Xenopus tropicalis: one gene and its partners. The protein of the gene in region 1 purifies or fractionates together with the protein of each later gene. This does not show direct contact. Links are inferred from orthologs where the notes say so. Each region holds a gene or a part of one and is shown on either strand. Other genes may lie near its edges. The genes, in order: themis, ptpn11 and grb2.

Region 1 (4,083 bases):
ACAACATGAGGAACTGTATTAAAGGGTCGCGGCGTTAGGTAGGTTGAGAACCACTGATCTAGTAGAATTAAGTTATTAGAGTTTTTTTGAAAATGTTTCACCACTAATCTTGGAGCTGTTCAGACAAGTAGTGAAAGTCTGGTTGCTTTAGACTAAATTCTACTAGATACTGTAAGCACATATTTTTCATGTAGTTTAATTAGATATAGCACCACCTAGTGAGCAACTGTGAGCATATTTACTACTGAACCCTTCACTCAGCTTTTTGAAACAAAAAGGTTGACAAGTGCTGTCCTTAAGAAAACAATATTAACATTACTGTGAAATGATTGCTTTTTCTCCCTGAACTGTTTGTACAGGCTGATATTTTAGACAGTTGTAAGAGAGGGTCGGATGCCTTTTTAGCAAATGAGAGAATGCAAGGCTACTGGTAAAATCATTAGTGAACCAGTGCTTTAGAATAATAATTACAACAAATAATATAGGATTGATCCAGGGACTTAGAATGGAATATAAAGCCACATGAACACTTTATGGAATAAAAGACAAAATAGACTCAAAAGAAAAAAATAAGCAAAAAAGAAAAAACACATTTTTTGGACCTAGCGCACATTTTTTTCCTGGCAGGTGCTTTTATTGCAAAGGATTTGGAAAATGTCTGCAACATGCACCCACATCATTCACAGTCAAACACATATCATCTGCCTGTGATCAGTGCTCTGACAAGCAGAATTTTTCCCAACTTTTCAATGCAAATAAAAAGGTTCCTGATGTGCTATCTACAGTACAGTACCCAGGCTGCAAATTCTATGTGCATTCAGGGTCACAATTGGCAGTACGGTTGCCTCTGGGTTTTAACTGGACTGTTTGTTTTTTCATGGACTGTCCGGTTTAAAGCTACTGTACCTGTCCAGAATCCAAAGGTCTGAAACTAGCCCTGCCCCTTAAGTTTGCAAAACAAAAAGGCTATGATTATATCATCATATCATTATTATAATCCACATTTCTGCCTTCTTTTACGATGTAGGTCAAAGCAAAAGCAATATTACCACAAAACCTTATTTATTAACACCACAGTGGTGTTTTCTGCTTATATACAGGTGTCTATGACATGTAAGAACAGGAACTTTGAGCTTTGTATGACCAAAACCATCTTCCTGTTCTGCAGCTCTTAACTACAAACTTGTGCAGTGTGTCCCTAGCAGCATACCACACATCTCTGCTCTCTGTGCATAGAATTACTTTGCTTGGGCTGCATGACTAACCTTGGATTATGGCAACTTCACTTGAGCAATTTATTAATACTCTGGATCCAAAAACACTTCCAAGAGTGCTGCAGATACAATCTGGATATTATTATGGAGGTAATTATAATACAGAATTGTTTTTAGAAATGATAATGTCTCTTTGAGTTGAAGGTTGTCAAAGGCTTTGTTACGTGGCATTGTGACTGGCTTCTACATCTGTGCCCAATAGCTCTTGCTAATTTCTTAATATTTATTTAGTAAGTACAGGAATGGGATCTATTCTCTGGAAACCTGATATCCAGAAAGCTCCGAATAACGGGAAGGCCATCTCAATTTATGTTTTAAAAATTATCTCCTTTATGTTTGTATTAATAAACCAGTGCCTTATACTTGATCCTAACTAAGATATAATTAAACCTTATTAGAGGCAAAATAATAATTTGGGGTTTATTAAATGTTTACATTTTTTTAGTGAACTTAAGCTATGAATATCTAAATTATGGAGGACCCCTTTTTCGGAAAACCCCCAGATCCCAAGCATTCTGAATAACAGGTCCCACACCTGTATATCACATTGGCAAGATTGTATAGGATGGAAACTGCTGTCAAGAAACCAATTATCCAGAAAGATAAAAAAAAAAAACCTGCAGTTTCCATTTTCTTTTGTGTCCTATTTAAACACACAATTCTGTATTTTAGGCTGATGTGCTTTTGTTGTGTAAAAGAAAGGCAATACCTTATATCTAAGAATGACTAAGACAGCATAAATCAATGTTGATGGCAAAACATTCCTACTGGGTTTAGTCAGTGTTAAAAAAAATTTTCCCCCCATTGCCTTAAGGGTAATGGCCCATGGGGAGAATAGTCGCCTGTGATAAATCTCTGGTACCGCTGGTGACTAATCTCCCAGAAAAGCCTTTCCACCAGCAATAAAGGGAATCGCCAGTGGAATGACCCCGTATCTGGATAGTCCTACATCCCAAACATTTCAGATAACAGGAACCACACATATAGGTTAAAAACATGTCTATGTCTTTGTTAGCATGCAAAATATCAATTAGTAACTTAACACTACATCCTCTGGATTTATCACCTTTTGCAAGCAGATTTTATTTGTGTACTTTTTTTTTTATTACAAATGAACAAAAACTCAAAATAACCTCACAGGCTTAGAAGCACATGGGCTTTCACATTAACACGGTTTGGAACAATTGCTTCATTATCTTGTTTCCAGCAGGCATGACATTACCTTTGGTGCAGCGACTATACCAAGCTGTGGTTAATTAAATGCATGAATGGTCAGAAAGGGAAACACCAAAGTGCTCCACCAAATTAAAGTGCTGAGTTTGTTATTCAAGCAACATATATAAACAAATGGTCATTAAGTTTTTTTTTTTGCTGTATAGACTTCTTTATTGTATTGAATATAATATTTAACCAGAGAATGTAATGAAAATAGTTTGTGAAAGGCAAATTATTTTTGATTTATGAAAATGAGTATTTAATATACATTTTGTCAAACTGCTAAGTATTAAACAACTCATCCGGCACTGAAAAAAAAATGCACTTTTTTAAGCTTCTGCCTTGTGACAGGTCTATGTATAAATAAAATTATCAGGGTAAAAACTGTCAAACAATATTACATTGCAAAATGCAATTTTTCATTTTTAATTTCTGTTCTGTATATGATATATTACTTTTCATGTAACATGAAGAAAATAAATTCCTAGGGGCCAAATAAAACCTTTTTCTGCTTTTGTCCCAGTTGAAATGCCTTTGCTTGAAACGTGCAACAGCCTTAGTCCTCTTGCCTGCAGGTTTTCTCCTTCCTCACCTTGCTGGAACCTGTTTAGCACAGGGAATTTCTTCACACGCTGTTGGATCACTAATATTTTTCCTATCAAGGACAGTACAACCTTATATGGTCTAATTTATGCTGTGTGTACCTATAAGTATGTACTGTACTGATTTAATTTACAGGATAACAGGGCACCCAGGCACTTTGGTTGTGGCAAGGAAGTTATTTTTCTCCACAAGAAAGATACATTAGTTTCAAAATTATGTGTTTATTGTTGATTGAAGTGTTTTGCACCACAATAAAAATACAAATATCTGCATATTTTACAAGAGTAGGTACATTTTCTCTGTTATTTTCTTTTATATAATACCCAGGTCGTGTAACACAAGTGGCATTACTAAACAGTAATTAAAGCTTATGGTTTCCTTCATAAGGATAAAGTTTATAGCTATTCATGGCTTTTGTGTATCAAAAGAAAAACAAGACAACATTATCTAACCTGCAATGGTCCAAAAAATACAACAACTTCCAAGTCTATCGCAGGAATAATACACCCCTACAAGAGTGAATGTACACCTTTGCTATCCTGCAGGTACTGCAGAACTACCAACATCCTCTTGCAATTAAAACTGTAACAGGAAGGTTCCGAAAGATTAATGCTGAACACATCTGATTGTGACTTCAGAATTTCAGCAAATGTAAGAAAAGATAGACACCCATATTACTCATATTACAATCTAAGTTACTACTCACTTAGGTAGTAAGCTCTACGGGGCAGCGACTTCCTTTCCCACTGTGTCTTTTACCACGTGGCAGTTAATCGATACATATGTATACTTAATTATTTACTATTATTTTTGTATAATGTTGTCTTTCCTGTATGTACTTTTCTAAATTGTAAAATTGTACAGTGCTGCATATCCTAGTAGCATTTAATACATACATGATATGCTGAATTCTATTGACTAAAAGAATTATACCAAGCAGCATTAGAAATTACAGGTAGAACAGAAAAAGACCAGCAAAATTACAATTGAT
Region 2 (3,654 bases), on another chromosome or scaffold:
CTTCATATCAGAGATGATCCAAAAGAATTGGGCGCCCGAGGCAACCCTTAGCAAACTTCCATTCTTGGTTCCAGTCCTCTGCTGCTGCCTCAGCTGCAAGAAACAAAATCACCAACCCTCCTCAACAGGTCCTTTGCCACTGCTACTGTAACTTGCACTAGCCATCCTTCATCCCCATTGCTTATTGCAAAATCAAGGATCTGAAGGAACAAATATCGCCCTTGGCAGGTGCCTACCCTGACTACCCCTTTGTCCAGTCCTGCTTCATATGAAAGGGACAGACTGCTTATGCATGAGTGCGTGTATTTGTATATACATTTAGGCAATCACCAAAAAGTGGAGATGCATTAAAACAGAACAATTGCCTTCTCAAAACCAAAAGCTATTTCTACTAATGACACAGCACTATGAACACTCACTTTGCTTGCTTGGCACAATAGTTCCTTATAATAGAGTGCTGCTACTACCTCTTTGTGGCTTAGTTGTCTGTTCAGTAATGATTATATATGGTTGCAGTGGGTAAAGAATACATCAACCACAAACCTAGTGCAGGTGAAAATAACAAAAACTAATTAGCACCTAGTCATTTATTATTAACAGAAACCTTCTGCGAGATCTGAAAAATAATTAGCAGCCATAAATTTACTTGTGCTACTGCAATATTATATATCCCACCAGGGTTTCTCTAGTTTTTCTTTCTACGTTAACTTTTTTACTCCAGACGTTTGTAGACAATAAAGCTCAAAGCAAACACACTGTAATAAAAAAGGCTTTTGGTTCAAGTAAAACATCGATTCAAGGCTTTTGGATCAAGGTTCAAAAATACCTGGCATGTCAATTCAAATAAATATATTTTTGTTCTTACCGACAAAAGGAAATCCTCAGACACCATTTAACATAAGACTGCATTACCACAAAGTTATTTCTGGGATTTTAGCACCCCCAAGTTGCATAAAAATAATTTAAAACAGTCATAATTAGATGCTTAACTGGAAAGCTCCAGGTAAAATATGTGGCCAAAAGTATTCCAATAACTGCCTTTCCAACTTCGTATTCCAAAATCAAGGGTATGAACTTGAGTTGGTGTTCTCTTTGCTGCTATAACATTTGCTACTCATCTGGGTAGGCTTTCCACTAGATGTTGGAATATTGTTACTGGGGAGTTTCTTTCTTACTTCATACAGTCCTGCCCTAGTTGAATACCAGCATGATAAATCTCACATCTCTTAACTAACATGGGGCAGAATCAAATCAGTCAGTACTCACAAGGTAATATATTCTTGTATCGGTTCTTATTTTTGTTCTCTTGTCTTTGTCCCTCTTTCCTGCTATACAGCAGTTTGCATTCTTGCTGTTGTAAAGTCTGAAAAACAAATATAACACAAAATAAGTAGTCTCACAGAATTCTTGGGAGGACTTCCCTTAAAGTTAAACCTAATCACACTAATCACAAATTACTGCTATTGGAGATCAAAACTGGCCAGTTAAAAAAAGGAGTCAATGGGATTCTGCCTGCAGATTAATGGGCATAACTACAGTACATATCTAAAATTTATTTTATTCAAATATCCATATTAAAAAAAGCATACACAGGATTCGCCTTACGTGTTTCGCACCCTTCTGGTACTTAGTCATAAGCAGTTATATCCCCATAAGTTCCAAAACAAGACAATTGCAATTGAAAGAGCTCAATGTTTACATATATATTAATTAAAAGACATAACTGCCTAAGAATACGCACAAGGCGGAATCCTCTGGGGTTTTTATTCTTTTTTAATATGGATATCTGAGTAAAATTATTTTTTTAAACTTGTTGTGATGAGTTAGTCATACTTTATTGATACGAACCACACTATTGTCAAACTCTTGAATCCAAGAACTGCTCTGTGGACTGCAGAGCGCACATAATGGCCGTGGGCCAAGACAAGACGAAGAAGTAGCTCTGACTGAATACAGGTAGTTAATTCTACTATAATACATGCTGTATTGCAGGCAAACTAAATAGTGCAAAGCAGTGATGGTGGGTTACTCTTGATTGGGCAAGGCTAAAAGGGGACCATATCAAATCAGGTTTACATGTCTCAGAACAGACAATATAGTCAGAAAAAAAAATCATTGGTGCTTCTACTTTATTATTAAAAAAGGCAGTGTGTTTTCTGCAGCACATAAGAAAACTTATTCTGGGTTCTAACACATCTAATTCAGACAGGAGTTCACAAAGCCATCTCAAATGTAAAGAGACAGTCCATTTGGTAATGAGTTCATTTACAAAGAACCACTATTTAAATACACTGGAAGCATGTTGCGGGGACATCAGACTTCCATATTGCTGCAGTTAGTTTTATGCATCGATAAGCAGCTGGATAATTAAATTGTAATTAAAGTTTTTTGTAGGTGTGGTAGCCCTTATGTTGCACATAAGGTTTTAACTACATTAATTACTTCTGCTGCCTTCAGAGGCTTTACTACAATTAAGGTTATGTATGAAAGCCTGTATTTGGAGATCTCTTCCTCTTTTCCTGTGTGTTAGTTCACTGTGTCTTTTCATTTAGGAACTTTCATTAAGCAGCGAATATAAACTACCTGCAATTTGTGTCATACACTGCAGTACAACCTAAGGAGTGCAGATCTAGATTACTGAGAGAATACTGCAATGCTGCAAAGTGTCCTGGGAAGGGGTATAAATAGCATGTCTTTAGTAGGAAAAAATTAAATTATATGCACGTTACAAAGACAAACATTAATAAAAAAAAACATCCTTAGTGCTTTTAAAGTCTGTAAAATTAAATGCTTTATCAGTAATCTTTCAAAATGTAATTACTGCAGCAATGGAACAAAAATGATGCAGAATCTACTTCTCTATACACATAAATCAATGGCCCCTCTTATTTTCATCTTTGTGTCCTAACAATCTATGATTGTGTTTGTTTGGAGAAATTAACTCCATAGCATATTGACTTTAATTATCATTAAAGGAAACTGATGGGGAGCATTCTAATGTTAAGCATCAAACCGTAACTGCAAATGAATATAAAAAAAACCACACAAATAACAGGCCAAACAGAGGGTAACAAATTGGACACAATACTATAAAAGTACCTCAAATTCTTCCCAGAATCCTTGCTTAAATTTATCTGCAGTCTCTGCTGGCTTGCTAAGTTCCTTTACCCGGCTTTCAATTTCTGCAGCATTAATCCGCGTTGTGTTCAGTGGCTAAAAGAAAAGCTAAATTCTTAGCATATGGGTAAATAGGTACAAGGGGTTAATTGTCATGTTTAATTAGTCTTACCTGTTTTAGCTGCAGTACAGTTCCTAAAGTCTCAACCATAGGATTTTTTTTATAATGTTCCACGAGATCTGTCAGAGAGTCAAATTTCTCTCCCCCTCCAACATCATATTTTAAATCCTGGAGAAAGCAGAAAAAAAATGCAAGGTATCTGCATAATACAATAATTCAATATACTAAGGGGCTGATTTACTAACCCACGAATCCGACCCGAATTGGAAAAGTTCCGACTTGAAAACGAACATTTTGCGACTTTTTCGTATGTTTTGCGATTTTTTCGGATTCTGTACGAATTTTTCGTTACCAATACGATTTTTGCGTAAAAATGCGAGTTTTTCGTATCCATTCCGAAAGTTGCATAAAAAGTT
Region 3 (3,850 bases), on another chromosome or scaffold:
CTGATTCTCGGCCTGCTTTGCCTGCACCCACAAGGCTCCCTATTTGCATCTGGGTGCAGGCAAGTTTGCGTTTTGGCACCGAAATCCATTCTGTGTGCCTGCACTAGGCCAACACAATGGCTCCGGTTGCAGAGGAAAGGCTGATGCCAGTTAGGGAATAAACACAGGCCGAGAGTCAGTCCCTTGTGGCATCAGCCTTGCTGTCCCTTTGGGCCGCCCATACAGAAATGTCCCTGGAGGAGAGGTGGATTTTTATCACTTATAGAGCTGAAGCTCTCAGAGTTGGAATTTGAACTGCAGACTGTTTGCTGGGGCTGTAATTAGAGTAGAGAGATAATGCAGCCATAACACCATAAATAAGGAATGAATCGTGCGTATTGTAGGCCTATCTGTATCAGACTAAGGGTAATGGCACATTGGGCAATTCCACCTGCCGTATTCACCGACTGCAAACTCCACTTGTGATTTTTTTTTTTTTCTTTAAAGGTTAAATTTCTCCACTTCTCATTTTTACACAGCGTTTTAATGACCATTTATTTCTGAAATGTTGTTCTGCCTTTCCTGTGTCACTGTGTCTTTGGGTGATTCTCCGCTGTGCTATGATTGTGCTACTCCCTGACTTACTCCACTGTGAAAATGTCATAAAATGCAGTTTGCTCCTTTTTTGTCAAAAAGACAAATTCACTTTAAATTGCTTGTGAATATGGTTTAGGAGGTTATGGTTCAAAGTAGAGGAAGAAACATTTGCACACTGTCCCACAAAGGCTCCAAATAAAGTGACCGTCTGTAGAAGATGTTGTGCAACTTCAGCATAGCACAGTTCCTTTTTTAAATTTGTGTCTTTGGGAATACGGAGAATGCATTTACATCTGTTTTACCATCACTTTTAGCCCCCCCAGAACAGACTTTTTCCACTTTTTGTGAATCCCCCCTTGGAATTGCACCATATACCATTTCTCTAACACATAACAGTCCCCTCTTGTGGTTTTTTTGCTTGCATGCTCTCCCTTTTCCTGTTCTTTTAATCTCCAGTTCTCTAATAGTATTTCCCGCTAGCCACAGCTCTCCCTCTGTGTGTTTTCTGCCCTTGAGTTTAATGGCGTTCGATTTCCGTAGGTGGTTTTTCGGTAAAATCCCCCGTGCCAAAGCAGAGGAGATGCTTGGAAAGCAGAGACACGATGGTGCCTTTCTGATCCGAGAGAGTGAAAGTGCTCCTGGAGATTTCTCCTTATCAGTCAAGTGAGTGTTTTTCTTATGGGGATCTGTATTTTTTTTGGCAGTGCGGTCATGAATAGGGCCTGTTCCCCTTTACAATAACTTTTAGTATGACATAGACATTAATATTCTGAGACAATTTGCAATTAATTTTCATTTTTTATGGTTTTTCAGTTTCTCAGCTTTTCGTTCAGCAGCTCTCTGCTTGCTAGGGTCTTGTTTACCTTAGCAACCAGGCAGAGGTTTCCGTGAGAGACTGGAATATGAATAGGAAAGGGACTGAATAGAAGGATAAGGAATAAAAAGTAACAATAATAAAATTGCAAGCTCACGGAGCAATAGATTTTTGGCTGCCGGGGTCAGTGACCCCCATTTGAAAGCTGGAAAGATGTAGAAGAGATAATAAAATAAAACTTAAAAAAATAATGAAGATCAATTGCAAAGTTGTAAGGAATAGGGCCATCTATAACATACTAAAAGTTACCTTAAACTTTAAGGAGCATCTGTAAAAATTCACCCATCTTCTTCAGATTCGGCAATGACGTGCAGCACTTCAAGGTCCTACGGGATGGAGCCGGCAAGTATTTCCTGTGGGTGGTAAAGTTCAACTCGCTGAATGAGCTGGTGGACTACCACAGGTCCACATCCGTGTCTAGGAACCAGCAGATCTTCCTACGAGACATCGAGCAGGTTCCACAGGTACACGGGGGAGACAGAGCCACGAATTTGCTACAGGTATATAGAGGGGAGGGACAGGCAAGAGACTGTGCTTTGGATAGAAGCGCGGTGCATTTATACAGCTTTGTGTGGGATATAATGTATCTCGTTACTAAAGAGGAACAAAATCTCATCTTCTCTGATAACATTGGGCCTTTTCTCACATTTCCCACCTACCTTCCTGCCTGTCTGGTGTGGCTATTTGGGTTCTGTCTGTGTATAACTAGGGTGCTTTGTGGTGCATATATATTTCTGCTTGTAGGAATGTTGTGCTATGTATAATAGGTGCATGCAGAATGAGGGAGGGGTATCCTGTGTTATTAAGGCTAAGCCCCCCTGACATGTCGATCTTTAACCTCACCGCAGCAACCGACCTATGTGCAGGCGCTATTTGACTTTGACCCACAAGAAGATGGTGAACTTGGATTCCGACGAGGAGACTTCATCCAAGTTGTAGACAACTCCGACCCCAACTGGTGGAAGGGGACATGCCTCGGCCAAACTGGCATGTTCCCACGCAACTACGTGACACCCGTTAACCGTAACATGTAACCAGAGTCGGCAAGGAACCAGTGGCCAAGGAGGAGCACAGGCAGACTGATCTGGGAGGCATTTCGGACTGACTGAGCGACCAAAGGGAGAGAAAATCTTTACCCGGGGGAAGCCAAGACAGACTGACCAAGACAGACAGATGACTGTCTAAATGCAGCCCCGCACACCAGCAAGGACAGTTTGCCCCGGGATTGTCATAAATACTCAATAACAGGATAGAAACATGGATAGATCATTAACTTGGGGGGGGTGGGTGGGGGGACATAGACATATATTGTAAGAATGCTTATGTTTTGACTGCCTCAATCTGGTTGGCTGCTGCCCTTTGACTGACAGATGACAGCATTGCAGAATAGCGCAGGGGGCGAGGGTGGGAATGGTACGCATTCAGTATAGCTCAAACCCAACTCTATAGACCGACAGACTCGACTGTATCGCAGATGTTATTGCTTCCTGGGCCTGGATCTGAGACGGCGATCCCACAAGTCTGGCTGTGCTTTGTGCAGCCGCCACGCACGCTTTCCACAAGGTGAACCCCTTGGCCCAACGTTGAACTTTTTTTTGGGTGGGAGGGCGAAGGGTCCGACCGACTCTCGAGGGGAAGGGGATGGGCGATTGTTGATGTTTGATTAAGAATGCCAAAACTTACCTTTAAATTAAAACAAAAACAAGAGACTTTTTTTTTTAATTAACAAACTCCCTTTACTGCTGCTGTTTCTTCCCCACGTCCCATTCCTGTTTCACCCCCCCCATCCTTATCATGCATGTGTTAGCCAAGCACTAAGTACACACGCCTTGGAAAATAAAATGCGCAGAAGTGAGAGCTGCCATATCCACTCATTTTCTCTCTATGCAAGTCTGGTTCTGCTGGTTTGATTGTAAGGGGCCACAAACTCTATCCCCCCCGTTTTTCTGGAGTAGGGAGCCCCCCCAAATAAACAAGGTTGGTGGGGGGTGGAGCGGTAGCTGGCACATATATGCCTGTCTAGCCTGGTGTCTGTTCAGCTGACCGGCCTCAGGCATCTTTACATGATATTGACATTTTGTATCTCACTCCCACAGTACAGACAGCAGTTGGCCTAATCTACTATTCTATGGTTCTGTCATTTAACACAAGTACTGGCAGGAAAATACGTTTGGGATTGGGGCTGGGAGGGGGCCAGCAGGGATCTGGCAGGGTATTGGTTATAACCTAGGGTTTTGAACGACAAGAGGCAAAGGACACTTTTAATATCACACAATTATTTCAATTTCTGTGAGGTTGCTAGGGGAATTCACCCTAACAACCTGGCAGTGGTTTGACTGACCGGGTAGGAATGGCTTTATGCTTGGCAGTAGCTTCAGAAGTGGTTCAGGGTAGAATGAT

Evidence for each region.
Region 2: the proteins of themis (region 1) and ptpn11 purify together in Homo sapiens (co-immunoprecipitation; 3 studies listed by BioGRID and IntAct, counting the BioPlex papers as one, with this or other methods). This does not show direct contact. The link is inferred for Xenopus tropicalis from reciprocal best matches to the Homo sapiens genes THEMIS and PTPN11.
Region 3: the proteins of themis (region 1) and grb2 purify together in Homo sapiens (co-immunoprecipitation; 6 studies listed by BioGRID and IntAct, counting the BioPlex papers as one, with this or other methods). This does not show direct contact. The link is inferred for Xenopus tropicalis from reciprocal best matches to the Homo sapiens genes THEMIS and GRB2.

Annotation. Positions count from the first base shown.
Region 1 is NC_030681.2:68,102,229-68,106,311, reverse strand, and holds the start of themis (protein THEMIS), read left to right. Parts: upstream 1-1,184; 5' UTR 1,185-1,273; coding exon 1,274-1,364; intron 1,365-4,083.
Region 2 is NC_030677.2:163,821,309-163,824,962, reverse strand, and holds part of ptpn11 (tyrosine-protein phosphatase non-receptor type 11), read right to left. Parts: intron 3,407-3,654; coding exon 3,290-3,406; intron 3,214-3,289; coding exon 3,100-3,213; intron 1,364-3,099; coding exon 1,267-1,363; intron 1-1,266. UniProt on the Homo sapiens protein: Acts downstream of various receptor and cytoplasmic protein tyrosine kinases to participate in the signal transduction from the cell surface to the nucleus. Positively regulates MAPK signal transduction pathway. Dephosphorylates GAB1, ARHGAP35 and EGFR.
Region 3 is NC_030686.2:44,450,251-44,454,100, reverse strand, and holds the end of grb2 (growth factor receptor-bound protein 2), read left to right. Parts: intron 1-1,116; coding exon 1,117-1,239; intron 1,240-1,745; coding exon 1,746-1,950; intron 1,951-2,298; coding exon 2,299-2,484; 3' UTR 2,485-3,340; downstream 3,341-3,850. UniProt on the Homo sapiens protein: Non-enzymatic adapter protein that plays a pivotal role in precisely regulated signaling cascades from cell surface receptors to cellular responses, including signaling transduction and gene expression.